Linked DNA regions of Callithrix jacchus. The protein of the gene in region 2 purifies or fractionates together with the protein of the main gene of each other region. This does not show direct contact. Links are inferred from orthologs where the notes say so. Each region holds a gene or a part of one and is shown on either strand. Other genes may lie near its edges. The genes, in order: ITCH, MAVS, TRIM21, BAG6, NLRP3, IFIH1 and EIF2AK2.

What was found.
Region 1: the proteins of MAVS (region 2) and ITCH purify together in Homo sapiens (affinity purification with western blotting; 3 studies listed by BioGRID). This does not show direct contact. The link is inferred for Callithrix jacchus from reciprocal best matches to the Homo sapiens genes MAVS and ITCH.
Region 3: the proteins of MAVS (region 2) and TRIM21 purify together in Homo sapiens (affinity purification with western blotting; 3 studies listed by BioGRID). This does not show direct contact. The link is inferred for Callithrix jacchus from reciprocal best matches to the Homo sapiens genes MAVS and TRIM21.
Region 4: the proteins of MAVS (region 2) and BAG6 purify together in Homo sapiens (affinity purification with western blotting; 3 studies listed by BioGRID and IntAct, with this or other methods). This does not show direct contact. The link is inferred for Callithrix jacchus from reciprocal best matches to the Homo sapiens genes MAVS and BAG6.
Region 5: the proteins of MAVS (region 2) and NLRP3 purify together in Homo sapiens (affinity purification with western blotting; 4 studies listed by BioGRID and IntAct, with this or other methods). This does not show direct contact. The link is inferred for Callithrix jacchus from reciprocal best matches to the Homo sapiens genes MAVS and NLRP3.
Region 6: the proteins of MAVS (region 2) and IFIH1 purify together in Homo sapiens (affinity purification with western blotting; 12 studies listed by BioGRID and IntAct, with this or other methods). This does not show direct contact. The link is inferred for Callithrix jacchus from reciprocal best matches to the Homo sapiens genes MAVS and IFIH1.
Region 7: the proteins of MAVS (region 2) and EIF2AK2 purify together in Homo sapiens (affinity purification with western blotting; 3 studies listed by BioGRID and IntAct, with this or other methods). This does not show direct contact. The link is inferred for Callithrix jacchus from reciprocal best matches to the Homo sapiens genes MAVS and EIF2AK2.

What each region holds. Positions count from the first base shown.
Region 1 is NC_133506.1:4,798,831-4,802,552, forward strand, and holds the end of ITCH (E3 ubiquitin-protein ligase Itchy homolog), read right to left. Parts: intron 3,281-3,722; coding exon 3,181-3,280; 3' UTR 501-3,180; downstream 1-500. UniProt on the Homo sapiens protein: Acts as an Acts as an E3 ubiquitin-protein ligase which accepts ubiquitin from an E2 ubiquitin-conjugating enzyme in the form of a thioester and then directly transfers the ubiquitin to targeted substrates.
Region 2 is NC_133506.1:11,368,896-11,372,977, forward strand, and holds the start of MAVS (mitochondrial antiviral-signaling protein), read left to right. Parts: upstream 1-1,282; 5' UTR 1,283-1,590; intron 1,591-1,967; exon of another isoform or gene 1,968-2,095; intron 2,096-4,082.
Region 3 is NC_133511.1:69,716,676-69,720,870, reverse strand, and holds the start of TRIM21 (E3 ubiquitin-protein ligase TRIM21), read left to right. Parts: upstream 1-1,395; 5' UTR 1,396-1,465; intron 1,466-3,773; 5' UTR 3,774-3,850; intron 3,851-4,195. UniProt on the Homo sapiens protein: E3 ubiquitin-protein ligase whose activity is dependent on E2 enzymes, UBE2D1, UBE2D2, UBE2E1 and UBE2E2.
Region 4 is NC_133505.1:39,148,493-39,151,992, forward strand, and holds part of BAG6 (large proline-rich protein BAG6), read right to left. Parts: intron 2,811-3,500; coding exon 2,693-2,810; intron 2,579-2,692; coding exon 2,382-2,578; intron 2,148-2,381; coding exon 2,094-2,147; intron 1,935-2,093; coding exon 1,860-1,934; intron 454-1,859; coding exon 215-453; intron 1-214. UniProt on the Homo sapiens protein: ATP-independent molecular chaperone preventing the aggregation of misfolded and hydrophobic patches-containing proteins.
Region 5 is NC_133520.1:38,227,679-38,230,628, forward strand, and holds the end of NLRP3 (NACHT, LRR and PYD domains-containing protein 3), read right to left. Parts: intron 1,187-2,950; coding exon 1,087-1,186; 3' UTR 501-1,086; downstream 1-500. UniProt on the Homo sapiens protein: Sensor component of the NLRP3 inflammasome, which mediates inflammasome activation in response to defects in membrane integrity, leading to secretion of inflammatory cytokines IL1B and IL18 and pyroptosis.
Region 6 is NC_133507.1:67,420,615-67,424,114, reverse strand, and holds the end of IFIH1 (interferon-induced helicase C domain-containing protein 1), read right to left. Parts: intron 1,570-3,500; coding exon 1,379-1,569; intron 867-1,378; coding exon 776-866; intron 677-775; coding exon 497-676; 3' UTR 376-496; downstream 1-375.
Region 7 is NC_133515.1:77,846,150-77,849,649, reverse strand, and holds part of EIF2AK2 (interferon-induced, double-stranded RNA-activated protein kinase), read right to left. Parts: intron 2,372-3,500; coding exon 2,242-2,371; intron 1,505-2,241; coding exon 1,428-1,504; intron 1,288-1,427; coding exon 1,194-1,287; intron 269-1,193; coding exon 234-268; intron 1-233.

The DNA.
Region 1 (3,722 bases), about 6.6 Mb from region 2:
AACCCTGATTAACATTTCAGATTATTAACCAGATAAGTAAAAAGTGGTAGAGCGGGCTTGATTGAAATAGTTCGTTTAGGATGAGAACTTTGTGTATAGTTGAACATGTTTCACTAAAATTTCTAGTCATTGGTATGTCAATCTCTTGATGAAAAATCAGTACCTGAATATGTCTTTTTGTTGCTTTAAGAGACAGGGTCTCGCTATGTTGCCCAGGTTGGATTTGAACTTCTGGACTCAAGCGATCCTCCCACCTCAGCCTCCCAAGTACAATACCTGAATTTTAAATAGAGTTATTGTAAGTTTTATGAAATGAGGTTCTTCTGTACTCTGACATAATAAAAGACAGAGCAGGAATTCATTATTATGAGCTGTTTGATCAGTTTTAAACCACTCCATTTGATCAAAAAAGTGAGGTCCTTCCCTCCTGACCAGGCTGTGGAATGCTGTCTTCCCCAACCCCTGCCCCCTGCAAAAGAGCAGAAGAATAAGGCAATTGCTCATTTTACTTTGTTTTTATTTCAATGTAACATGCAGTAAAAAAAAATAATAATAATTAACAGGATTTATTAGCATTTACAATGCTTACAAAGAGAAAGAATTCTAAAAGCAATTTAGTTCAGATTTAAGAAAAAGGTCTACGTAAATACTTACAATAAATCTATTTCCATATGTTCAGTTTGGACCAAAATTTAAGATAGCATTTGGTAGATATTTATGTCTGCTATCTATTTGCAGTATTTTTATATAACCTCTGATTCTTGGGATATCCAGCCCCCATTTTCCTAACACAGCAGGGAAGACATATACATGTGGCCACTTAAATTAAAGGGAAAAATGGAGTAGGGAGATCCCAGGCTGCAAAAATATATACAAGCATTTACCTTTTCCAGAACTAAACACTTCTTCCATAAAAATATTAAATAGCCAAGCCCTATAGAACTAGGGCCAGGGCTACTTCAAATATAACTATTCTGTATTTTAAAAATATAGGGCAGAAAGCCTTTTGGGTGATATTTATATATTTTCACACAATATTTCTAGGTCCCTAAATGAATCATGAAGCATTATATAGAACAAAAAAAAAATCTATTTTCTTACATTATCTCTTAATTTAATCTCATAAATCTCTAGTAAATATTGTAGATAACTACATTTCAGTATGAGAATTCACCTCAACAGGAAGTCTTTATAGAGGGCTTAATCTTCATTAGCCATATATTACGAAGTTCAGACTTATATAATGAACGGGTAGTTGGCAGACATTCGCTCTGTAAGACAAAGCAATAGCATTTTCCCCCCCTACCAACAAAAAGGCAGAGTCCCTACTTTTAACAACTAGGGCTACTGGAAACCACACAGTATTTCCTGGGGTACATGAAATAAAAAAAAACCACAGGGCTGGGGAGAGCCTAGTCTCCCAATTTACACTGAGTTTCTTTGATGAGGCAACCTTTTCACTCATGTAAGTCTCTGCTTTATGATGGCAGTGTCTTGGAGTACAGATAGCCAAGTTAAAAAAAAAAAGTTTTTATTGTTGTTCCAGGATGTAAAAAGGAAGAGCATTAGGGCCAAAAAAAATATTTTTTTCCATATGGAACAGGGTTCTGCTGCTTGTTCTTGGCTTAATATTACTTGTTCATGCTATGCCTCTCAAACATGGCAAAGTCCCTTATACATGAGCTATGAGGCTGTCCTCACAGTACAGCTATAATAGGGACTCAGCTGGCTTAGGCTTCATTCCACTGCTCATAAAGTCCAATTTATAACAGCCATCTTGACAGTCTAAGCTAGGCCAATTTAAAAGAATTAACTCCAGAGAACTTCAAAGTACATTAATCAGTTAGTAATGGAGCAATCTAAACTTAAAATAGTCATGAGAAAAAAAGAAAACCCTGCTAAAAATTTTAAGGGTAAAAAGAATATTGCAGATGAGGGATATCAAACCATTTCAGGACAATGTAAAGAATGGAAATGACTACTCCAACATATGTCAGAGAAATGATAAATTTGAAGACTTTTAATTCACAGAGAATATATTCTTGTAGTTACTGGACGTTATCTTCCTTTCTTTTTAGCCCATACCACAGCTCTCCCTCTCAAATGAAAATTTGATGTCAGAAGCTATTTCATTGACCTCTATTTGGACTAGAAAGCACTCTTGTCTTTCTAGTCTTAAACTCCTTAACAATAATTAAATATAAACTGAAGTTGTTGGATTATGATAAAATTATAAAGCATCAGTTATGTAGAACATATAAAAATCACCAGTGATGTCCTTAGATGAATTCAATTAAATTAATTCTAATTCTAGGTTAACTTTTTTCCCATTTATTTTTCCCCCCAAAAGAGACAGGGTCTCCCTATGTGGCCCAGGCTGGTCCTGAACTCCTGTCCTCAAGGGATCCTTCTGCCTCAGCCTCCCAAGGTGCTAGGATTCCACGCCTGGCCCTAGGTTAACTTAAAACAACAACGAAGGAATCACAGTGTTAATATTGTTCGTAAAGTGTAGTATTTGCCAGGCAACTAAAACAATCAAACTTCCAAATGAAATTATTTAGAGGCTGTGACCAACTTTTCCCTGAATTCAAATTGACAAAACTACTTTGTAGAGAGATGCAGTAGTTTTGCATCACTTCCAGGAATGATGTATGGATTCATGCTCCAGAAAGGAAAGACAATAGTCAAGTCAGACTAAAATGAGGAGAACACAAGCCAAAATTTTGCTCACATCCCCAGAAGCTGGGGTAAGTTTGCACTTTTAACAAATGCCTCATCCCAAGAGGCTTAATAGGAAGATCTTGTATATTGCAGTTACCAAAGGACTTCCCTGCTTATCTCCAGAATTTGTAAAAGAAAAAAACCTACTCCCAAGTGAAACTTTTGACCTATATACAAAATTGTTAAGGGAACAAACTAGTGGAATAAGACAAGGCAGATTTCATTGCTGTGTTAAAATTTCATGTTAAGCAAAGTTTTGACTAGTCATTTGCAGACCTGATTTCTGGAAATGGTGAGTAGAAATCACTGGGTGATAAATTTTAATGATAACATTAATTTACTTACACTCAGATAACTCTCTAAAGAGCCACAGTCCAATTTTACAAGATGTGCAACAGGCAGAGAAGAACAAACATTGCAAACAAGTTCTTGCCCATTCACGATGCAAGTTCTCAGAAGTTACTCTTGTCCAAATCCTTCTGTTTCTTCTATGGCAAACAACAGCTTTTCTTTCAGTTGCTCATAGCTCTTGTATGGTGGCAGGTCCAGGCGATTAAAACTAAAAGCAAGAATTGTTAGTTTGAGAAAAGGAAATATGCAAAGAATCAAATGAGTAGTGTAGTATAACACCACTCCTATAGAAGCACAAAAATAAACTACTGTGCTTCAAAGGATACCGTCACGAAAGTGAAATAACTCAAAAATGGAAAAAAATATTTATAAATCATATATCTGATAAAGAACTGCTATCTAAAATATATAAAAAACTTAGAATTCAACAATATTTAAAAATGGGTAAAGGATACATTTCTCCAAAGGAGATATACAAATGACCAATAAACACATGAAAACAATGCTCAACATCCTTAGTCATTAGGTAAATGCAAATAAGATACACTTCACACCTACTGGGATGGCTATTATTTAAAACAACAACAACAAAAAGAAGAAAACAAGAGTTGAAAAGGATGTGAGGATGTGGAGAAATCAGAGCTTTTCTG
Region 2 (4,082 bases):
TCGTTTTGTCTGTTTTTGAACTTTATATGACTGGAAGCAGACAGAATGTGCTCTTTAGTGTTTGGTTCCATTCACTAAGCACTATTTAGCTGCTGGTGCCCACTCAACTGTGGGAAGATCCTCCTATGTCTGTGTGTCAATAGTTTGTTCATTTTCACTGTGGTATACTATTCCATAGTGTGATTACACCATAGTTTGTCTTTCTGTTTTCCTGCTGATGACCATTTGCGTTTTCGGATTTTGCCTATCATGAATAAGTCAGTACAAACATTATCTAGGTGTATGTTTCTAGGTAGATATATACCCAGGGGCGAAATTGCTGGGTCATAGGATTAGCATACGTTTAACTTCAGTAACAACTGTCATTTTTCCAAATCTCTTTTTTCTTTTAAGATGAGGTTTCACCATGATGGCCAGGCAGGTCTTGAACTCCTGACCTCAGGTGATCCACCCACCTCAGCCTCCCAAAGTGCTAGGATTACAGGCGTGAGCCACCGCGCCCGGCTCCAAATCTCTTAAACTCTTTTTAAAACAGGAAGAATAAACCTACTCTACCTGATTATCGTGAGCGTATTTAATGAACTCTAAAGAATAAGGTTTTAAGCCTTGTGCCTGGAAGACAGTAGGTGCTCAATAAGTGCTGGCCTCTGCCCCAGCAGGGGAAAGGCGAGGCAGAAGGCAGGAACTGCGGGAGGTACCCGCCCCATACCGTTGGGCGGAAGAGGCCTCTCCCACGCAGCACTTAAGTCACCCCCAGCCTGCCCGTCAGCCAGTTTGGCGTGCCTGCCTTGGGCCTACCCACCCTGCATTCCGTCGCCCGCTCCCGTTCCCACAGGCCCGGCGTGCGCGTCTCCTGCCTAGGCATCCTTGCCCCTGTGACTTCAGCGTCTCCCAGCGTTTGCTGGACACTAACTGTATGCCAGGCCATGAGGCTGCAGGAGAGAACGACACGAAGATCCTCGCCCCTCAAAGCTCCCGGCAGGAGGAGGGGCTGCTTCACTTGAGAAGCGTGGGGATGGAATTCTCAGCCCGCCAATGACTCGGAGGCCGGCCGCCCGCCTGGTTTCTGGCCGGACACTGGACTTCCCCTGGAAGTTGCTCGAGACGAACAAGGGAAGAAAACAATCCGCTCTCCCGCGCCCCCAGCAGGAAATCAGGTCGATCCTCCGAGCCTAGTCCTGTGTGTCCCCGACCCGCAAACCAAGGCCCAGCGCCCGCCCCCGCCTCTCCGTCCCTGAGCCTCCAGCCAATCACGCGCGGCCGGGAAGCCCCGCACCCTCCTGTTGGCCAATGGCCGCGCGGCCTGCCTGCCCCGTCCCGTCGCTGCGGGGAGGGTCGTAGGCCCCGCGCGGCTGTCGCCAGGTCGCAGGGCCGGGGCTACCCGAGGTAAGATCGCCGCTGGGGCCCTTGGTCCTCTCTGCTCAGTACACACGGACGCCTTTAGGGAAGGTGGCTGCAGCGGAATGACCGCGTCAGCCGGGGCGCCCTGGGTCTGGGGCGCTCGGGGTTCGGGAAGAGCCGGCCCTGAGGCGCACGGGGTTCGGGGACACTGAGGGCTCCAGGCGCCGCATCCAGCACCGGGGAAAAGGGGTAGGTGGCGCTGGGCGTCTGCTCTGTCTGGGGGAAAGGTAGAGCCGGAAGGGCACGGGCAGTGGCCGCTGACCTCCTGCTGCCCGCAGGCCCAGGGTGACTCTAAGGGGGGGCCGAATCTCGACGGGCCGCGCCTTGGGCTCGAGTACTGCCGCCCTCCCCTGGGTGTGGACAGTTCTCGGCGGCGACACCAGCTCAGAAGAGCTTCCCGGCGCTCCGCGGACCTGGGTCTCGCCCAGGAATCCGATCCGAGGCTGTGAGGCCTGTCCCTTTCGGGAGGGTGGGTATTTATTTCCGGGACGCACTCAGAGCCTCTGGACAGTCAGGTCGGAAACTTTGCTGCATCGAGAACACTCTGTCACCTCCTTCCTTCTCAGATGGGAGAGGTGCCAGGAAAACAATGAAACAAACCAAAACAACGAAGAAGGCATTCTCTGTATGGAAGTCGTGAAGCCTCAAAACTATCTAGGAGGACAGCCAACGACTTGGGACCTGTGGCCGCAATGTGAGGGCAGGGTTAATGTCTGATCTAAATGTTGCTTCCTCCCAAGTGCACCCTCAGCCTCTCCCCACAAGTGACCTTGGGCCCTCTTTGGGCTTGAAGGCAGGTGGCTCTGTGGGCCTCACTTGCTGCAGGGGTCTCTGTGCCCTGCAAGGTGTATGACCAGCTGCAGTGAGGTAGGAGATTCTGGGTTCAAATCCTGTGCTAGCCTCTGGCCAATTGTGCACCTTGGCATCACTTCCCCTGTCACGGGACTGGGGAAGGATTAACTAAAAGAACCTTAGGATGTGCTTGTCTACAGTTGGCCCTCAATAAATGTGAACAGACGTGGGCTTCCTTTCCTTTTGGTTGGGCTACATCATCCCCTCCCCTCCATGTGTGTTGTAGGGGCTGAGGCTAGAGTGCCTCATCTGATTGCCTCCTGGTACCTGGCTGATGCCATGAGAAAGGAAGAAGAAACAGTGTTTTGTTTTTTTTTTTTAATGGAGTCTCACTCTGTTGCCCAGGCTGTAGTGTGATAGCCTGATCTCAGCTCACTGCAACCTCTGCCTCCCAGGTTCTAGAGATTCTCATGCCTCAGCCTCCCAAGTAGCTGGGAGTACAGGTGTCTGATGCCATGCCTGGCTAATTTTTGTATTTTTAGTAAAGACCGGGTTTTACCATGTTGGCCAGGCTGGTCTCAAACTCCTTACCTCAAGTGATCTGCCTGCCTTGGCCTCCCAAAGTGCTGGGATTACAGGCATGAGCCACCATGCTTGGCCAAGAAAGGGGTCTATTAACTGTCACAGAGTTGGTTTTTGCTCTTTTTTTTTTTTTTGAGACGGAGTCTTGCCCTGTCCCCAGCTGGAGTGCAGTGCATGATCTTGGCTCACTGCAACCTCCACTTCCCGGGTTCAAGTGATTCTCCTGCCTCGGCCTCCCAAAATGCTGGGATTATAGGTGTGAGCCACCATGCCCAGCACTTTGCTCATTTCTTGAAGGCTCAGAGCCTGACCCTCCTGAACTGTCCTTTGCACTTGGCCCACAAGGAATGCAGCAGTGCCTGGTGGTTGGCAAAGCAAGTTGTGCATGTGAGACTCTGAGGCCTGTGACAAGACTGTTTCCCCTGTGAGTGGGGTTTGGTGGCCCAGCAGCTTTCAGGTGCTGTCTGCTCCGCAGCACTGCCTCCTAGAGGTCTCATGCTTGCCTGATGCCCACTTGGTCCTCTTCTGCCTCCTTCCCTCCCTGACAGCCCACTAGGAATCCAATAGCATCTCAAGCTTCACTGTTCAAAACTGAGTTCTGGAGTTCCTTCTGAGCCACTCCTCCTCCCCTGGCTTCTCTGCTCTGGTAAATGGGCACCTGCCATCTACCCAGTGCCTAAGGAGTCATCCTTGATTTTTTTCTCTCCCTTATCTCCTACACCCTCAAAACACCAGAAATCTGGCTGCCTCCTGCCAACTCTGTAGTTTCCATCCTGGCCATAATCATCCTGTCTCCTCGGCTGTGGCCTCCTGACTGGTCTCCCAGTTTTCATCCTGGCCCCTCCACAGTTCTCACAATTGTCAGAGAAGTCTTTAATGTAAATCAGATCCTCTTCTTTCCCTGCCAGAACCTTCCAATTGGTCCCTGTTTCACTCCAACTAAAACCCAGAGTCCTTTCCTACAGCACCCTACGTGAGTGGTCCCTTTTACCTCCTTGACCTTCATCTTGCCCCTCTCCCTAGCTTTCTTAACCTTGACCACACTGACCTGCTTTCTATTCTTCAAACATGCCAAGTTCATCCCACTTTAGGACTTTTGCATTTACCATGCCCTCTGCCAAAAACACCAATCTTCTCAGAGCCTTAGAACGGCTCAGCTGTGTTCTTAACACTAGTTCAGAAAGGCTTCTTTGACCCCCTAGTTCAAGTAGCATGCCTGTCTCCAGGGGATGTGTCTCTTTACCTGCTTTATTTTCTTTAGAACCTTTATTGCTATCTGGAATTCTTATTTGGGTAAGAATTTACTG
Region 3 (4,195 bases), on a different chromosome or scaffold from region 2:
ATTGGGGGGGAAAGGGGAGGGTCAGTGGGAGGGGGAGGTGGGGAGGGATAGCCTGGGGAGAAATGCCAAATGTGGGTGAAGGGGAGAAGGAAAGCAAAGCACACTGCCATGTGTGTACCTACGCAACTGTCTTGCATGCTCTGCTCATGTACCCCAAAACCTATAATCCAATAAAAAATTAAAAAAAAAATAGACAAATGGGTAAGGAAAGTGTGGTACACATACACAATGGAGTACTGATTAGCCATAAAAAGGAGAACCTTTCATTTGCTACAACATGGATGAAAAATAGGGGTCATTATGTTAAATAAAATAAACCAAACACAGGCAAACAACCAATTGTACATTCTCACTAATAAGTGGAGCTAAAAATTAGAACAATTGAACTCATGAAGATAGCAGAATGATGGTTACCAAAAGCTGGGAAGGGTAGCCAGGAGTGTGTAGGGGGGTGATTAATGGGTTCAAAATACATGAGATAGAATGAATAAGATCTAGTATTTTATAGCATAACAGGGTGACTACAGACAATTTATCATACATTTTAAAATAATTAAAAAACATATAATTGGATTGTTTGTAACACAAAGAAGTGATAAATTCTTGAGGTGATGGATACCCCCACTTACCCTGATGTGATTATTACAGACCGTATGCTATACCTGTGCATCAAAATATCTCATGTAGCCCATAAATACATACATCTACCACAGACACAGAAAATTTAAAATTTAAAACAAAATTACTTGGGTAAATTTTATATTCTGTGTATTTAACGATTAAAAATTAATATAACCTGAGAATGTCCCTAGCTCGGTGATAAGAACATAGTTGGTTATCAGATGTCAATTCCCTTCTCACCACTCACTGGTGGGATACTTACCTCGGGGTCATGCGAAATAAATCACTCACCTGCAGATGTTAAAAAAATAATAGTCACATCAGTCACATGAAAAGAATTAGCTTCTGGAAGTAAGAAACAGATGACGGCACGTGAGGGAGAGCACCAGCCACTATTCTCTGCATCCAACCCTCCTTAAAAGCAGCTTCCAGACATGGGCAAAGCATCTAGGTGTGGGGTGATAACCAGTGTCAAAGAAAGCAGCCCGGACTCCCCCATCTTGCAGATATTTTACTAAATCAGATAATGAAGACATGGGAGGGGGTGCGCACCCAGGACCACAGGCTACTGGGCTTCCATTACTTCCCAGTCTCATAGAAGCCCCCTGGCTGTCCAGAGCCTCTGAAGCCCCCCGCCAGCCCAACTCTGACTTCTCTCCTCCCACCTCTCTTCCTTCTCAGCGGCATTTCTCCACACACCCTTTCAAGGCTCCGCTCCTCCCACGGCTCCTCCCTCTCTCCTCTCACGGCTCCTCCTCCCTCCCCTTTCCCGTCAGACTTGCCTCTGAGCGGAAACTGAAAGTGAAATAGGGAGCTGGCTACCCGCGTTGAGTCCCCTGTAAAGGTGAGTGAACCTCACTAAATCAAGGAACCCCTGCCCTCCTAGTGGACCTCTCCCCTGCCCCAGGGCTGCAGAGCCCCTTCCAACCAGTCTCCATCCTTGAGCCGGTCCCATTTGCCCCTTCTCCCACCGGGGATCCCTCAATCCAAGCCCCTCTGTGCTTCCGAGGCTGGTCTCCTAACCTGGAAGGAGGCTGGGGTATGGACATGACTGCTGCGGAGTTACCCAGAAGGGGTAGGGTTCCGGGCACTTGGGAGGAGACTGGGGTGTGGGACGTGACTGCGGAGTTACCCAGAAGGGGAAGGGTTCCGGCTGCCCCCTACTTGGGAGGAGGCTGGGGTGTGGACGTGACTATGGAGTTACCCAGAAAGAGAAGGGGCCTGGCTGCCCCATTGCTGGCACCTGAGCTGGGATGAGAGCTGGGTGCAGCTGAGAGAGCCAGCACTACTGCCTAGCCAGGAGCGTGGGGGAGATCTGCAATCCTGGAGACTCCCAGGTCCAAAAGTCCTCCAGAGGTGAGGGGCAGGCTGCTTAGGATGTTCAACCAGAAATGTATAGGCCTTCAAAATTACTCTTTGTCATAGAAGAAGTGATGTCAGGAACTAAACTAAGTTTGGAGCAGCTGAAAGAAGAGCCCAGGGAGTGCTGGCCACAGTTCCTGTTGCTCTGTGTGAATACATTCACATATACATGCTCATGTACATACATATACACCTGACTTTTGCCAATATTGGAATGATTAATGAAGATGTATTCAAAGCATGTGTAGTATCTCTGGCACATGGAAGGTACATGGTTAAAAGTAGCTATTTTATGACTAGTTTCTCAGCAACATGGAGGCCTGCTGGTACCAGAAAGAAGATGAATGGGCACTGAGGGTTTAAGCAGGAATGGACATGAGAGAACTGTCAGCTTTATGAGGTTCTTGCCAATTTTCACTCCCTCCTTTAGGGACTCAGTTTCTCCTTCTGTCCCAGTGGATCAATGGGCCAAACAGTGGAGGAGTTCTTGTTATTCAGAAGAATAAACTTATTAAACAAACTATTTGGTCCATGCAAAAGTAATACTGTTTTTGCCATTAATTATTTTTCCATTAATATTATGCCCTTTTTTTTTTTTTTTTGGAGATGGAGTCTCCCTCTGTTGCCTGTGCTGGAGTGCAGTGGCACCAACTCAGCTCACTGCAACCTCCACCTCCCAGGTTCAAGCAATTCTCCTGCCTCAGCCTCCTGAGTAGCTGGGATTACAGGCACCCACTACCACTCCCAACTATTTTTTGTATTTTTAGTAGAGACAGAGTTTCACCATGTTGGTCAGGCTGGTCTCAAACTCCTGACCTCAGGTGATCCACCCACCTCGACCTCCCAGAGTGCTGGGATTACAGGCGTGAGCCACCATTTTTATTTTTTTATTTTCCGTTTCATCATTTTGTTTTTCTTTTTTTAGTTTTAATTTTTCTGGGCATGTAGTAGGTATATTTATGGGCTACATGGAACATTTTGATACAGGTATACAGAGCCACCATTTTTATTTTTTTATTTTCCTTTGCATCATTTTGTTTTTCTTTCTCTAGTTTTAATTTTTCTGGGCACATAGTAGGTATATTTATAGGCTACATGGAATATTTTGATATAAGTATACAATGTGTAATAACCACATCAGGATAAATGGGGCATCTAGCACCTTAAGCATTGATCATCTGTGATAAACTATGCAATTATACTCTTTCAAATGTACAATTAAATTATTGACTATCGCCACCTGTTATGCTATCAAATACTAGATCTAATTCACTCCATTTTTGTACCCATTAACCATCCTACTTTTCCCCCAACACATCCTCCCTACTATTCTTCCCAGCCTCTGGTAACCATCTTTCTATTATCTAACTCCATGAGTTCAATTGTTTTGATTTTTAGCGCCTACAAATGAGAACATACAATGTTTGTCTTTCTGTGCCTGGCTTATTCCACTTAATGTAGTGACCTCCAGTTCCATTCATGTTGTTGTAAATGACAGGATCTCATATTTTATGGCTGAATAGTACTCCATTTTGTATATGTACCACATTTTATTTATCTATGTATCTGTTGATGGACACTTAGGTTGCCACCAAATCTTGGCTATTGTGAAACATACTGCAATAAACATGAGTGTGCAGATATCACTTTGATACAGTGATTTCCTTTCTTAGGGGTATATACCTAGCAGTGGGATTGCTGGATCATATGGTAACTCTATTTTCAGTTTTTTGAAGAACCTCCAAACTGTTCTCTGTAGTGATCGTACTAATTTACATTTCCACCAACAGCTTATGAGGGTTCCCTTTTCTCCACACCCTCACCAGCATTTGTTATAGCCTGTTGGATAAAAGACATTTTAACTGAGGTGAGATATCTCATTGTAGTTTTGATTTGCATTTTACTGATAATCAGTGATGTTGAGCAACTGTTCATATGCCTGTTTGTCATTTGTATGTCTTTTGAGAAATGTCTATTCAGATCTTTTGTCCATTTTTGAACCAGATTATTACATTTTTTTCCTATAGAGTTGTTTGAGCTCCTTACATATTCTGATTATTAATCCCTTGTCAAATGGATAGTTTGCAAATATTTACTCCCATTCTGTGGGTTGTCTCTTCACTTTGTGGATTATTTTCTTTGCTGTGCAGCAGGTTTTCAATTTGATGTGATCCTATTTGTCCAATTTTGCTTCGGTTGCCTATGCTTGTGG
Region 4 (3,500 bases), on a different chromosome or scaffold from region 2:
TTTGGATTTCCTTGCCACAGGGAGAGCAGTTCTTGTCAGCTGCCTCTCCTAGCATCATTTACTTATACTGAGATATACCCTCCTCGACTCTCAATGCTAACCCTCCAACTAAGACCTCCAAACAATCCTTTCCTTCCTTTACAATGGTTGATTTTCTTCTCCCCACACTTCACTCAGGATTCCCCACCCCCTAAAGATTCCCTCCATCTCTTACTTGGGTGCATTTGTCTCTGGGGCAGGTGTTGGGCCCGCTGGGGCTGGGCCAGAAGGGGTGAGCTCTGGGTTTTGGGCTGGGGTGTGCTCTTCCACTTCTTCTGCCTCCATGGGCTCCCGAGGAGGTGCTTCACTTTCAGCTGGTTCTGATGTTTGAGAGCTCAAGGCTACTGGCTCCGGGGTCACAGTTGGTGGCTGCGGGGGTGGCTGGCTGTGCTGCGGTTGGGAACCCCCTCGACACTGAAGGTGGGGAAGAGTCAGGATACCAAAAGGCAGGATGAGACTGCTGCAGAGGATTACTCTGCAGGAGACTGAATAGAGAAAGTGTCCTAACTAGGCTCCCTGAAGGCAGGGCTCTGCAATTGTATATCTGACTTTCTAGCAACTAGCATAAGACTAACATAAATTAGATGAATAAGCATCTGTAATTTTTTTTTTTTTTTTGAGACAGAGTCTCACTCTGTCATCCAGGCTGGAATGCAGTGGCATGATTTCAGCTCACTGCAATCTCCACCTCCCAGATTCAAGCAATCCAGGACTATAAGCACATGCAACCACAACCAGCAAATTTTTGTACTTTTAGTAGAGACAGGGTTTCGCAATGTTGGCCAGACTTGTCTGGAACTCCTGACTGCAGGTTGTCCACTTGCCATGGCCTCCCAAGGTGCTGGGATTACAGGCAGAAACCACCACGCCTGCCCATAGCATCTGTAATATTTGTCAACAGATTTCTAACAAAGAGTAGAGATTGTGGTTTCCTGACCTTCACTAGTTAAGAGTGTGGAATCCTTTTTTTTTTTTTTTTCCCTGAGATGGAGTCTCACTCTCTCACCCAGGTTCAAGTGCTATGATCTCGGCTTGCTGCAACCTCTGCTCCCGAGTTTAAGCGATTCTCCTACCTCAGCCTCCCAAGTAACTGAGACCACAGGCATGCAGCACATGCCACCACACCCAGCTAATTTTTGTATTTTTAGTAGAGATGGGGTTTCACCATATTGGCCAGGCTGGTCTCACTGACCTCCGCCTGCCTTGACCTCCCAAAGTGCTGGGATTACAGGCTTGAGCCCCCACGCCAGGCCAAATGTGGAATCCTTTAATTGAAAAGAGATCCCAGCCAGGCGCGGTGGCTCATGCCTATAATCCCAGCACTTTAGGAGGCCGAGGCGGGTGGATCACAAGGTCAAGAGATCAAGACCATCCTGGTCAACAAGGTGAAACCCCGTCTCTACTAAAAATACAAAAATTAGCTGGGCATGGTGGTGCACGCCTGTAGTCCCAGCTACTCGGGAGGCTGAGGCAGGAGAATTGCTTGAACCCAGGAGGCAGGGGTTGCAGTGAGCCAAGATCGTGCCATTGCACTCCAGTCTGGGTAACAACAGCGAAACTCCGTCTGAAAAAAAAAAAGAGATCCCATGAGACAAATCTGAAACAAACTCCCCAGATACCAGGCACCAGGCACCAAGAGGACTGGTAGAAATGAGAGCAGCTCACAAAGATACGTTTTTCTGTCCAAAAGAATGAATACTGCAAAGAAGTCTAGATTACGAAGGCCAAACCCTGTGAATGTGGCCAGTTATGCCCCAACCCCCAGGCTGAGAGAAAAGGGGGAAGGTGGGGAGAGACTCTAGCCAGCCTTGCCCACTTACCTCCATCCGGGATAGTAAGGTCTGTATATCCCTGATCATGTGCTGAGCCATCACCAGCCGTACCCGGGGCTCACTCTACAATGAGAGAAGAGTGATCAGGGTAGGTTACAGATGAAGCCATGAATTCTACCACCTACTAAATCAGGTCCCAGCCATCTTTCAACCAGGTCTACCCCACCTCCCAGCCTCCTTCTCCCAGATCCCCTTCCCTGACCCTCCAAGGCCCCTCAATACCTGAATCGGGGCCTGTTCCATGTTGATGTGAACATCCACAGCAGAGCCGTCACTCTGGGGAAAGGGTAAGGGAAGTTGTTCTGGGAGAAGCCAATACTAAGGCCTCCACTCTTCCGATTCATTCCCTGGAGCCCCGCTCTCTTTTCTCCTTAAACACTGACACCAATAGCATACCACAGGGCCCCCTGAACCCAACCTAAAGATGGAAGCATCTATCTTATTAATACCCTGCTGCTACCACAACCAAAGCTACCCACAAAGACCCTCCCCTGTGGAACATAAGCTTACAGGAAGATTGAAGGTTCCAACCATGACATAGCTGTTGGCATTCCGGTCATGAACAGAGGCCCCAGGCCCCCGAGTACCAGGCGGGGGTCCCCCACCATGAGTGGCTGAGGCAGACCCCGTCCCAGAAGATGCCCCAGAAGGGAGCTGAGTCTGAGGAGGAGCCCGTTCCACCAGGTGGATAACCTTTCCCCCAACATCTGCAGAAAAATAGACACACACCAAAACATAGTATGAACAGGTAAACCCGTGGCCTCAACTCAACACTCCAGATAGCAGTCTCAACGTCTCAACTGCCTCCCCAGTCGCCTTACTATATTCCTGGAGCTTCTTATCATCTTGCAGAACTCGTCCCTGGTAAATGAGCCGTTGTTTTTCAGATGGGATGCTGACAGAGGCAGCAATGTGCTCCTTAAACTCTTTCACATTCATCTGCAAGGAAGAGAAGGTATGCACAGGAATGGAAAGAATAGAGGAAAGAGGAAGAACAGAGACGGACAACTGACAGAATCACCACCCATTTGTCTTGACTGTGAGGTAATCACCGTGCAAACCCTTAAACTGAAGTAACAGCTGTCAAAATATAGACAATAAACTTGGCTGGGTGCAGTGGCTCACACCTGTATTCCCAACACTTTGAGAAGCCAAGGTCAGGCAGATCACCTGAGGTCAGGAGTTCCAGACCAGCCTAACATGATGAAATCCTGTCTCTACTAAAAATACAAAAATAATTAGCTAGGTGTGGTAGTGGGCACCTGTAATCCCAGCTACTAGGGAGGCTGAGGCAAGAGAATCATTTTAACCAGGGAGGCAGAGGTTGCTGAGATTGTGCCATTGTACTCCAGCCCAGGCAACAGAGTGAGACTCCATCTCAAAAAATTAAATAAATAAATTTAATGAAGCTCAGGTTATATATAGGTCCATGAAAAATAACATGGATGAGAAACAAAACAAAAAAAACATCTGGACATTACATTCTCTGCCTGGCTCCCACGGGAATGTGTGTCTGAAACATCAGTGACCCCTTTCCAAACACAAAATGATACCAGGAGTTTATTTATCAGACTCTCCTATAATTCCCAAGATTAAAAAATGGCAAAGAAGATGGGGTCTGGAATCAGG
Region 5 (2,950 bases), on a different chromosome or scaffold from region 2:
TTTACAATCTTATTCAAGTTCCGTACAGCTACAGCTCCTAGACCACAACTTGAGTAGCCAAGTGTGGCTACTTTGATGGTTAATTGTATACTATTTCCATCCTGAGCGATTCCATGCGGTTCAAGAGTTGTCCATGTGTAGAGAGGCAATTAGTAAATATTTCCTTATAACTTAATGCTCTGTGAAGTATGATAGATGAACCGTTCCTCAGATGGGATAAATCCAAAATGAGTTGTTATCAAATGAAGGCAAGATGCATCTTCTGCCTAATACTTCTGGTTATGAGTGCAGGCTCCAAAACCCTGAAACCTTTCCCTCTATGACTTTCAAGCTCTTATCCTAGCAAAGCTGAAATTCCACTCATTACAATTAGTGTGAGGTAATTTTTTAAAAATTATCTACAATTGAATCATTTGCCAAAGCGATTTTTAAAATGCACAAAGCAATTTAATTTATCTTAAGTGGTTTAAATAAATAATTTTTAAAATGTCTAGGCACTCTTTTTTGAAATTAAGAAAAGGCAACAATTTAATTCAATAAATACAAAAAAGTTTTACATATTCCTGAATTTTCAACTAGCTACAAAAAGCATGAATTATTCTTATTAGAAAACATAACTATTACAAAAAATTTTTAAATAAATAAGTAGCTGCCACAAAATTTCAACATAATATATAGTCAATTAGTTCTGTGTTATGGTCAGTTAATAGAAAGATAGCAGGAATGATTATATGAGCAAAAATAGATCAAAGAAGAAAAAAAGATAGGAAAAAGAAAGTTAGAGACAGTGAGGAGAGGAAAATAAAGACAAAGAAAATGTTTTATTGAATGAGCTAATTACATAAGGTCGCCAAGAGGAACATCCTCTAATTAAGGTGCTGTGATGAGAACATCCGGAAGCTTCCATCACCCTCGTGTCTTCCTCACCCGGGCATAAAGGAGATGCCCGTTCTCTACACAGAGGCGTCATCAGCAAGCTCTCTTCTCCAACACCCCCCTGGAAGGATTTTTGGGCTGGATGGACTGCAGCACCCAAGGAGTGGAGGGGCCAGAGAACACTGGCGTCTGGCAGCCCTGCTTCTGCCCCTACCAAGAGGGCTCAAAGACAATGGTCAGCTCAGGCTTTTCTTCTTGAAGTGTTTCTAATGCACGTTTTGTCTCATAATTGAAAAACATTTCACACAACCTGTAAAAGCAAACAGAAAGCCTGGGTTGCACTCTTCAGATAAGTCTCTCAGAGTCGTTAACCTTAAAAGTCTCATCTCTTCATTTCCCTGAACACACACCTCTAAACTCTAAAATGTTAAACAAAAAAACAAAAACAGAACAGAAGCTCTCAGTGCCCAAGGTGGTTTCTGTTATATTTTTAACTATCTAGTAAAAAAAATTTATCTAGTTGGAAAAATTTTAAGAATATGTAAAAGTAGACAATACAGTATAACAAACCCCCTGTGTCCGTTACCCAAGTTCAACAATGACACAGGTCATGTCAACCTGTTTCCTCTAATACCCACCCACTCCTCCCACCATGGATTATTTTAAATAGTGCAGTTAACACATGTATAAATAATTCACTCTGTGACACTAAAACAGGATCACAATATCACCATCACATCAAAACTGTTTAATAGTAATTTCCTAGTGTCACTGTATGTCCAGCCAGCATTTATACTTCCTCAACTGTCTTGTAATTTTTTTTACGTTACGTTCATTTAGTCACAAACCCGATCAAGTCTACACATTGCATCTGCCCAGGATGCCGCTCACGTTTCTTTGATGAAAGTTCCTTCTCTTCTTTAATACAAAGTCTCCCTTGAAACTTAACTATTGAATCAGCCCATTTGTCCCGCATCATTGCTGAGCATCTCAATTTGGTTGTGTTGTATACCAAATGTTTTCCTCCTTAACAACTCCCATGATGAAGCCGAAACGCTAACGTGATGGTACTGAAAGGTGGGGCCTTCGGGAGGGAGGGAGGGAGGCAGATGAAGCTGTGAGGGCGAGGCCCTTACAGGGGCAGCTTCAGAGAGTTTGTTCTTTCTCCCCCGTCTTCTCTCCCTCGCCTCCCCTCCCGCCATGCGATCACACAGCAAGAAGGTAGCCATGTAAGCCAGGAAGAGGACTCTCATCAGCAACCAAATTCACCAGAGACTTGATTTTGGACTTTGCAGCCTCCAGAACTGTGAGAAAATAACTTTCTGTGTTTGAGTCACACCGTCTATAGCAGCTTGTCATGGCAGCCTGAGAAAACAGATTGATGGCATTCATGGGTTCTTCAGCCTATTTTGAGCCTGACCCTTGGCCTGGGTCCTGAACGTCCCTCAGGGCTAGGTCAGTGACTCTGTATGAAGCAATGTCCCCAGCTTTGGCCTGAGCAATCCCTCTTTTTTTCCTCTATCTCTCTTCGCTCTGGGAATGTGGGCTTGTCCGGCAGCAAACATGCCCCATTATGTCTACACGAGGATGCAAAGCTGATTCAAACTTTTATTTATTCAGACCTGCATTCCAACAGGCTCTCAGCCTTGAGATCTTGAATATGGACCAAAGTCCCTGGACTAAAGGAATTTATATCTTGGGAGCACAGATCATAAATAAATGAGAAAATGACAGAGCACATAAGATGTGCAACACTACAGGGGAGAATGAGAAGATAAAAGAAAGGACATGTTGGGCTTCCATTTTCAGTAAGAGAGTCAGAGACAGCCTCACAGAGACCTTTAGGCAGACAATTTAGGAATGTGTGGAGGATAAGGCACATGGAATTGAAGGGGAGAAAGTTCCAAGCAGGAAGAAAAGCAAGTGCAAAAATCCAGAGATGAAAGTGTTCTTGCAAACCAGCAAGGGGACCCCTATATGGGGGTAGAATGAGGAAGGGCCAGGAGAAGACGAATCTTCGGAAGCAGTGGGGGCCAGATTACGTGGGCCACGGAAGCCACCATGAGTTTGTGGC
Region 6 (3,500 bases), on a different chromosome or scaffold from region 2:
CAGGACATGCGTTATAATTAATGAGTGTTGTTTTAAGCCACTAAATTTGTGGCAATTTGTTATACAGCAATAAAAAATCAATAAAAAGAAAAAGCAGAGAATATTATGACCATTTCATCGATAAGGAGACTGGTTCAGAAAGATCAAATGATTTGCCTAATTTTATTCTGACAATAAGTGACAGACCTGAGATTGGTACCTTGAATTCTCATCTGTACTCCATCATACCTTGAATTCTCATTTGTACTCCATGATTCTTTCCACAGGACTACAATGCTCCACACTAATGAGAATTATTGGTAAATTTTCCTTACCCCTGCCCACCAACAAGATGGAAAATGGATAATGGATAATATGTTCCTAAAAAGAGCTCGATCCAGAGTAAAACAATCATTTTATTGATTCTTATATCAGCTCTGTAGCATAATTAATACATTAATCAAAATCATATTAAATGTTTAATTGATAGTATTTAAAAAGAATCTTGAATCAAGTGCTAATCCTCATCACTAAATAAACAGTGTTCAGCATAGTCAAGATCTGGAAATGTGATGGGTAATTCAATCCACCTTTTGTATTGTTCCTTTGTAGAACTATTTTTGAAATCCACTACAAAATTTCTTATTAAGAGACAAGGCAAATCTAAGCCTTTGTGGACCATCATTGTTCCCCAAGCCTGGAAAATAAAAGAGAAAACAAGAGGAAAATTAAATGCATATGCAATTAAACATTCCTTTGGGCTAAAGTAAAATCAGGTCCACAACAACTGACTCACCTGGCCACATTTGCAGATAATTTCACCATTGATTTGGTAGTCGGCAAACTTCTTTTGCAGTGCTTTGTTTTCTCTCACAATGTAGAGTTCCCTATAAGTATCAAAGGGGAAGAAAAATCATCACAACTGACAAAATACCAATGGGGTTTTTGTTCATGGGTTGTTGGACCTGAACCTCATCCACATGCATGCGTTATTCTACATGGCATTCCTTCCTTCCCTTCTGCTTCCCAGGCTTGTTATGGCAACTCAGGTAATCTTTCTCTTCTACATATATCTCTCAAAGGGCAAGTTACCTATTGTAACTTCTTTCAAGTTTGTTGGTTATATTAACTTGACTTTAGTTGTTCAGAAATTTGAGAACAAATGATGAGCATACAAAAATACGTGCCTTGGATCAAAATGGCTTTGGTTCGTACACTTCTCCTTTCCTGCTGCAGTGCAGTTTACTTAAAAAATAGACATTTGAAATAGGAATATAATTGAGGGGCTAAAGGATGGAAAGTTGTAAAATCTCAGTTGCACTATTTTGAAAGAACATTTACAATACAACCTGCTTCACCCCTGGTAGAAAAATTTTAAAATGGTTCTTTCTGGACTCACTTGAATGCTGGTGTCACATTGACATGATGCATCTTCTCAATTACATGGATGTCTTCCCCAGAACAGGCTAGGACACTGCAGTTTCTGCAAAGGAGAGTTATTAGTGATGGGTTTTCCTTGTAATGCTTGGCAGTACTTCTCTTGATTTTCATTTTCTTTTCCATTATACTTTGCATCTGTAATTCCAAAATCTGCACAGAGAAAGGAAGAGTTAGTGGTTTTAGGTTTGTTTTCTTTTTTCAGTTTCATAGAAGTAAGTCACTTGAAACTTAAAATACATACTTAGCTCATGGTCTACGAGATAAAAATAATGAGGTAATGATCCCCCAAAGAATTTAGTATACAATCATCTACTGTAACCATGAAAATGTGGAACCTTCAGGTGTTCAAAAAGTAGCCCATTCCATTTCAGAAATTCTATTGTGAGAAAGTCCTTAGCAATACTCAACAAAAATTCTCTGTCTAGCCTACCTATTTATTTTATTTGATTTATTTGTTGATTTATTTATTTAAGATGGAGTCTTGCTCTGTTGCCCAGGCTGGAGTGCAGTCACACTATCTCAGCTCACTGAAACCTCCATCTCCTGGGTGCAAGCAATTCTTCTGCCTCAGCCTCCTGAGTATCTAGGATTACAGTCGCCCGCCACCACACCCAGCTAATTTTCATATTTTTAGTAGAGATGAAGTTGTGCCATGTTGCCTAGGTTGGTCTCAAACTTTTGATCTCAGTGATTCAACTGTCTCAGCCTTTCAAAGTGCTGTGATTACAGGCACAAGCCACTGTGCCCATCCTACCCTTTTGTTTTAATTCTGTTCCATAAAATAGGTCTAAACTTTCTTCCGCATGGAATCTCTTTACTAAACACTGTTATTACATTATGAACATCTTCTCTAATCCATGCTAAGCATCCAAATTCCTTTAATCTTTTTTCATGCTTTATAATTTTCAAACCCTTCACCATCTTAATCAGTCTACTCTTTACACATTTGTGGCAGAAATTGCTAGTTTCGCACTCAGTATCCATTTTTCCTAGGAACAGAACCATAATTTTATTCTGGGTGGAATATGCTAGCTAAATGACTACATTTCCAAACCAGCAGTCAATGACAAGTAAAAAGCTGTTGAGTGGAATTTTCAGAAAATCTTCTTAAAAGTTTGATAGCTGGCATGTGTACTTTTTGTCCTTTCCATTTTCTTCTTACTTCCTGCCTAGAATAAAGATGTGGCAGCTGAAATTCTAAAAGCTATCTTTGACCTTGAGAATGAAAGCCCAATGCTATAATGGCATAAAAGAGAGAGAAAAGGCCTGCATTCCTGCACTTTGGGAGGCCGAGACCAGTAGTTCATGAGGTCAAGAGATCGAGACCATCCTGGCCAACATGGTAAAACCCCTTCTTTACTAAAAATACAAAAATTAGCTGGGTGTAGTGGCACGTGCCTGTAATCCCAGCCATTCAGGAGGCTGAGGCAGGAGAATCACTTGAATCTGGCAGGCGGAGGTTTCAGTGAGCCGAGATAGCACCGCTGCACTCCAGCCTGGCGACAGAGCGAGACTTCATCTCAAAGAGACAAACAAACAAAAACCTGGATTCCTCATAACATCATGGAGCCAACACTGCCTAGATTCCTTATGTGAGAGAATATGTCCATAGACACCTTTATTCTAGGCTCTGTGAGTAGCAGCAGCACTTATTTCATAATAGAAACAATCTAGTTTATTTAACATATGAAACTTGACATAGGGACATAGGGGCTGACAGTGTTTATAACAACCCAACTTTACAGTAAAAAATCTGGTTCTTGAATAATTTACCTCCAAACTGACTTCTCATAGATGATATATTTATATTAAATAATTGTGGAAGTAACTATTTTCTTTAAGACTGAGGGGGAAGTTTTCAGAAAAGTAAGTCATCAGTGCTGATGAACAAAGCCCATCTCTTTGGCTCCCAACTCTACATTTTAGATCTCCCTTCAAGGCAGCCATATATAGCATAGAAAAGAGATTAAACCCTTGCAAGCAAGCTTGGAGTCTATATAATAGATTAACCAGACAAGTACCAAGATTAATTTCCTATGTAATTAATAGCAAAATAATATATTGAAATATTTTTCCCTGGA
Region 7 (3,500 bases), on a different chromosome or scaffold from region 2:
ACCTAATTACTCTAGCAACACCCCCATAGGGCTTTATGTCTATGGTGTAGTATGCACATACATTCAAATATTTCTTGACACAACTAAAATTATTTGTTTATAGATTTCAAGCTGTCTGCTTCTGAAACTCCACTCAAATAAGGGTATACATTACTCTACAAGTATTAAAAACAATAAGTAAGTCTGAAATAAAACTTCACTTCAAAATATGTTCAATGCATAATGATACTCACCTTTTTACCTTCCTCTGATTATTTCTGAGACCATTCTATAACAAAAGAAAGTGAGAAATAGTTTCAGATAACTAAATCGATCATCTTCCTTTCTCCTGTATTTCTAGATGGCTCTGTGACTAATTCCTTAGTCCATCCATGTCTATATTCTCTTCAACCTCTGTACAAACACTTAGCATTGTAAGACTTAATTTTTTGCCAATCTAACGAGTTTAAAATAGTATCTACTTGTCTTGATTTACATTTTCCTGATTCCTAGTAAAGTATCTTTTAATATTTGTTGCCCATTGGGTATCTCTTCTCTGAACTATCTGTTTATAAGCTTTGTATATTTTTCTACTGAGTTGCTTGCCTTTTTCTTACTGATTTGTAGTTCTTTATAACAGAATCCTCTCGTAACACTAATCATCAAAAGCATAGATTTTGCTCTAACTTCAGCATTGCCTCATTATGTGCACAAAAAAATTATCTGATTTTTTTTTTTTTTTTTGAGATGGAGTCTCACTATGTTGCCTAGGCTGGTCCTGAACTCCTGGGCTAAAGCAATCCTCCCACCTTGGCCTCACAAGTGGCTGCAGACTACAGGCATGTACCACTGCACCAGGCTAAAAAATTATCTGATTTCGAGTTTACTTTTAATGTTGTTTAATTCTAATTTTTAAAAACAAACAAAACTATATTAGTAAATCTTTAAATATTATCCCATTGGTGGGAGAAAAAAGCAAGATCATAGGAATATATTAAAATATAAGGGTGAGTGAGGAAAAACAGGCAACATGTGAATGAATGAGGAATGGAACTTAATTTTAAAGAGTCAAAGGGCTGCTGAATATTATCATTTAATAAGAGTGCATAAGATAAAAATATAAAAATTATGATGGAATACTGGAAGTTATTTTTAAATAAGGAAACACACAGAAAAATAAGATTAAGTAGGAAGCTTCAAGACTAATACAATACCATAGACAATGAAGAACAATTGTTTAAACTATTGTTAAAATTTATCTCTGATGTATCTGCTGAGAAACTACTTTCAGGTGATGATTCAGAAGCCCTAGAAGAAAAGGATATAACTATTAGTTTACCATTTTTTATCACTGATTCTTTCTCTAAATTCTCCTTAAACATTAAATATTTTTATAAAAATTTCTTTCAGATGGCAATTAAATATCTTAATTGTTTGTCTACACTTACAATGTGCTGGTCACTAAAGGGTTGTTTTGGATGTCACGCACAGGAGTAAAAGAAACAGAGGATGTGGAGTCAGCTTTCTGAAAGAAAGAGTGCCCATTAGTAGGCTTAAATGCAACTAATTATTTCTCTACAGAGGCTCAGTGTCTGTATACTATCACAGTTACTTTGACACATTAGCAAATTCACAACCATAAACAATTACAATATTAATAACATTTTTAACGGATGTTTAGTCTGGATTTTATTTTATTTTTTATTTTACTTTTCTGGATCACAGGGCAGATAATTTTTGTTTGTTTGTTTGTTTTTGAGACAGGATTTGGCTCTGTCATTCAGGTTGAAGTACAGTGGCACCATGTTGGTTCACTGCAACCTCCACCTCCCAGGCTCAGGCGATCCTCCCATCTTAGCTTCCCGAGGACAGTAGTCTCAGCTGAAACTACAGGTGCATCGCACCACACCTGTCTAATTTTTTTTTTTTTTTTTTTTTTTTGTAGAGACATGGTTTTGGTCTCAAACTCCTGAGCTCAGGAGATCCACCAGCCTTGGCCTTCCAAAGTGCTAAGATTACAGGTGTGAGCCACCGCGCCTGGCCTGGTCTGGATTTTAAAAACCACCCTGAGTTACCCACAGAATTTTTATCCCTCTGAGGCCTCATGGCCCCATGGCACATGGTTCATTGGTGTGACACAGAATGGAGGAATCATTTTGCTAAATCACTGGATGTCTTGGCATAATGTAAACACAGTCTAACCTCAAGTCAACTTCAGACGGAATTTTAAACACAAAATTTTAATCCAAAGGCAGTACGTACCACTGAGGTTTCTTCTGATTTATGTATCTGAAGATATGCAAGTTTAGCAGCCAATTGTTTTGCTTCCTGTTTAGTAGAACCTGTACCAATACCATATTCTTTCTGCCCCACTTTGCATTTATAATGAAATCTAGGAGAAATCATGGAAGGTACTTATACAAACATGAAAAATATAGTAAATCCAACGTATGACTAAAAAGTCCATAGTAACAGAGATCTTAAGATAACACTAATTTATTAGATAGATTTATATTTCATATCTTGCATAATTTAAACCTTCAGTAACATGCCTGACCAATGTCTCTGAATAACCAGGATCAGCTGATATCTGAGCTTGCATTTTCCAGGCAATTTCTAATCTTTTGTTTTTTTTTTTTGCTTAAAGATCTGGCACAAAGGCACTAAGTAGTGATTTTTTTCTTTAATTCCCCAAAGGTCAAAAGGTATGGAGGTAGAAATAAAAGAGATCCAGTAGAGGATCTTTTTTTCAGAGGTGCTCAAATGGGAAAGAAAAAACCAGTAGAGAAAATGAGGCTTCCACAGGAGAAGCTATGAGGTTACAGTGCTGCGGCTTTGTAGGGAAAGAGCAAAGCATGGATTCTGCTCTAACTTCAACACTGTCTGCCATCTGCTTATGTGCACAAAAATTGAGAAAATCCCCACAGTGGGCCAGGCGCAGTGGCTCACGCCTGTAATCCCAGCACTTTGGGAGGCCAAGGTGGGTGAATCACGAGGTCAGGAGTTCAAGACTAGCCTGGCCAATATTATGAAACCCCATCTCTACTAAATATATAAAAAACTGGCTGGGCGTGGTGGCGTGAGCCTTTATTCCCAGCTACTCAGGAGGCTGAGGCAGGAGAATCGCTTGAACCTGGGAGGTGGAGGTTGCAGTGAGCCAAGATTGCACCACTGCACTCCAGCCTGGGTGACAGAGCAAGACTTCATCTCAAAAAAGAAAAGAGAAAATCCCCACCTTGCAGATGCCCGATACTAAAGTCCACACTCTCCTCCTATTAGAGGCAACAACATTTGTGGCTAGGCAAGGACACTTGGACAATTACATAAGAACTATTTTTCAGGGATAAAACAATGGACATGGCAATTTACATCATGGAGTTACTATATATTACTGCAAAATTATTCCGGTATTTGAACTCTTTTTCCTTTGTGTTTCCGCTGGAGGCCATCGAGAGAAACACATTCAAACAGGGTGAGTCTTCCCTGCTAGATCCTCAATTAAATAGCTGGGATGAGTGACT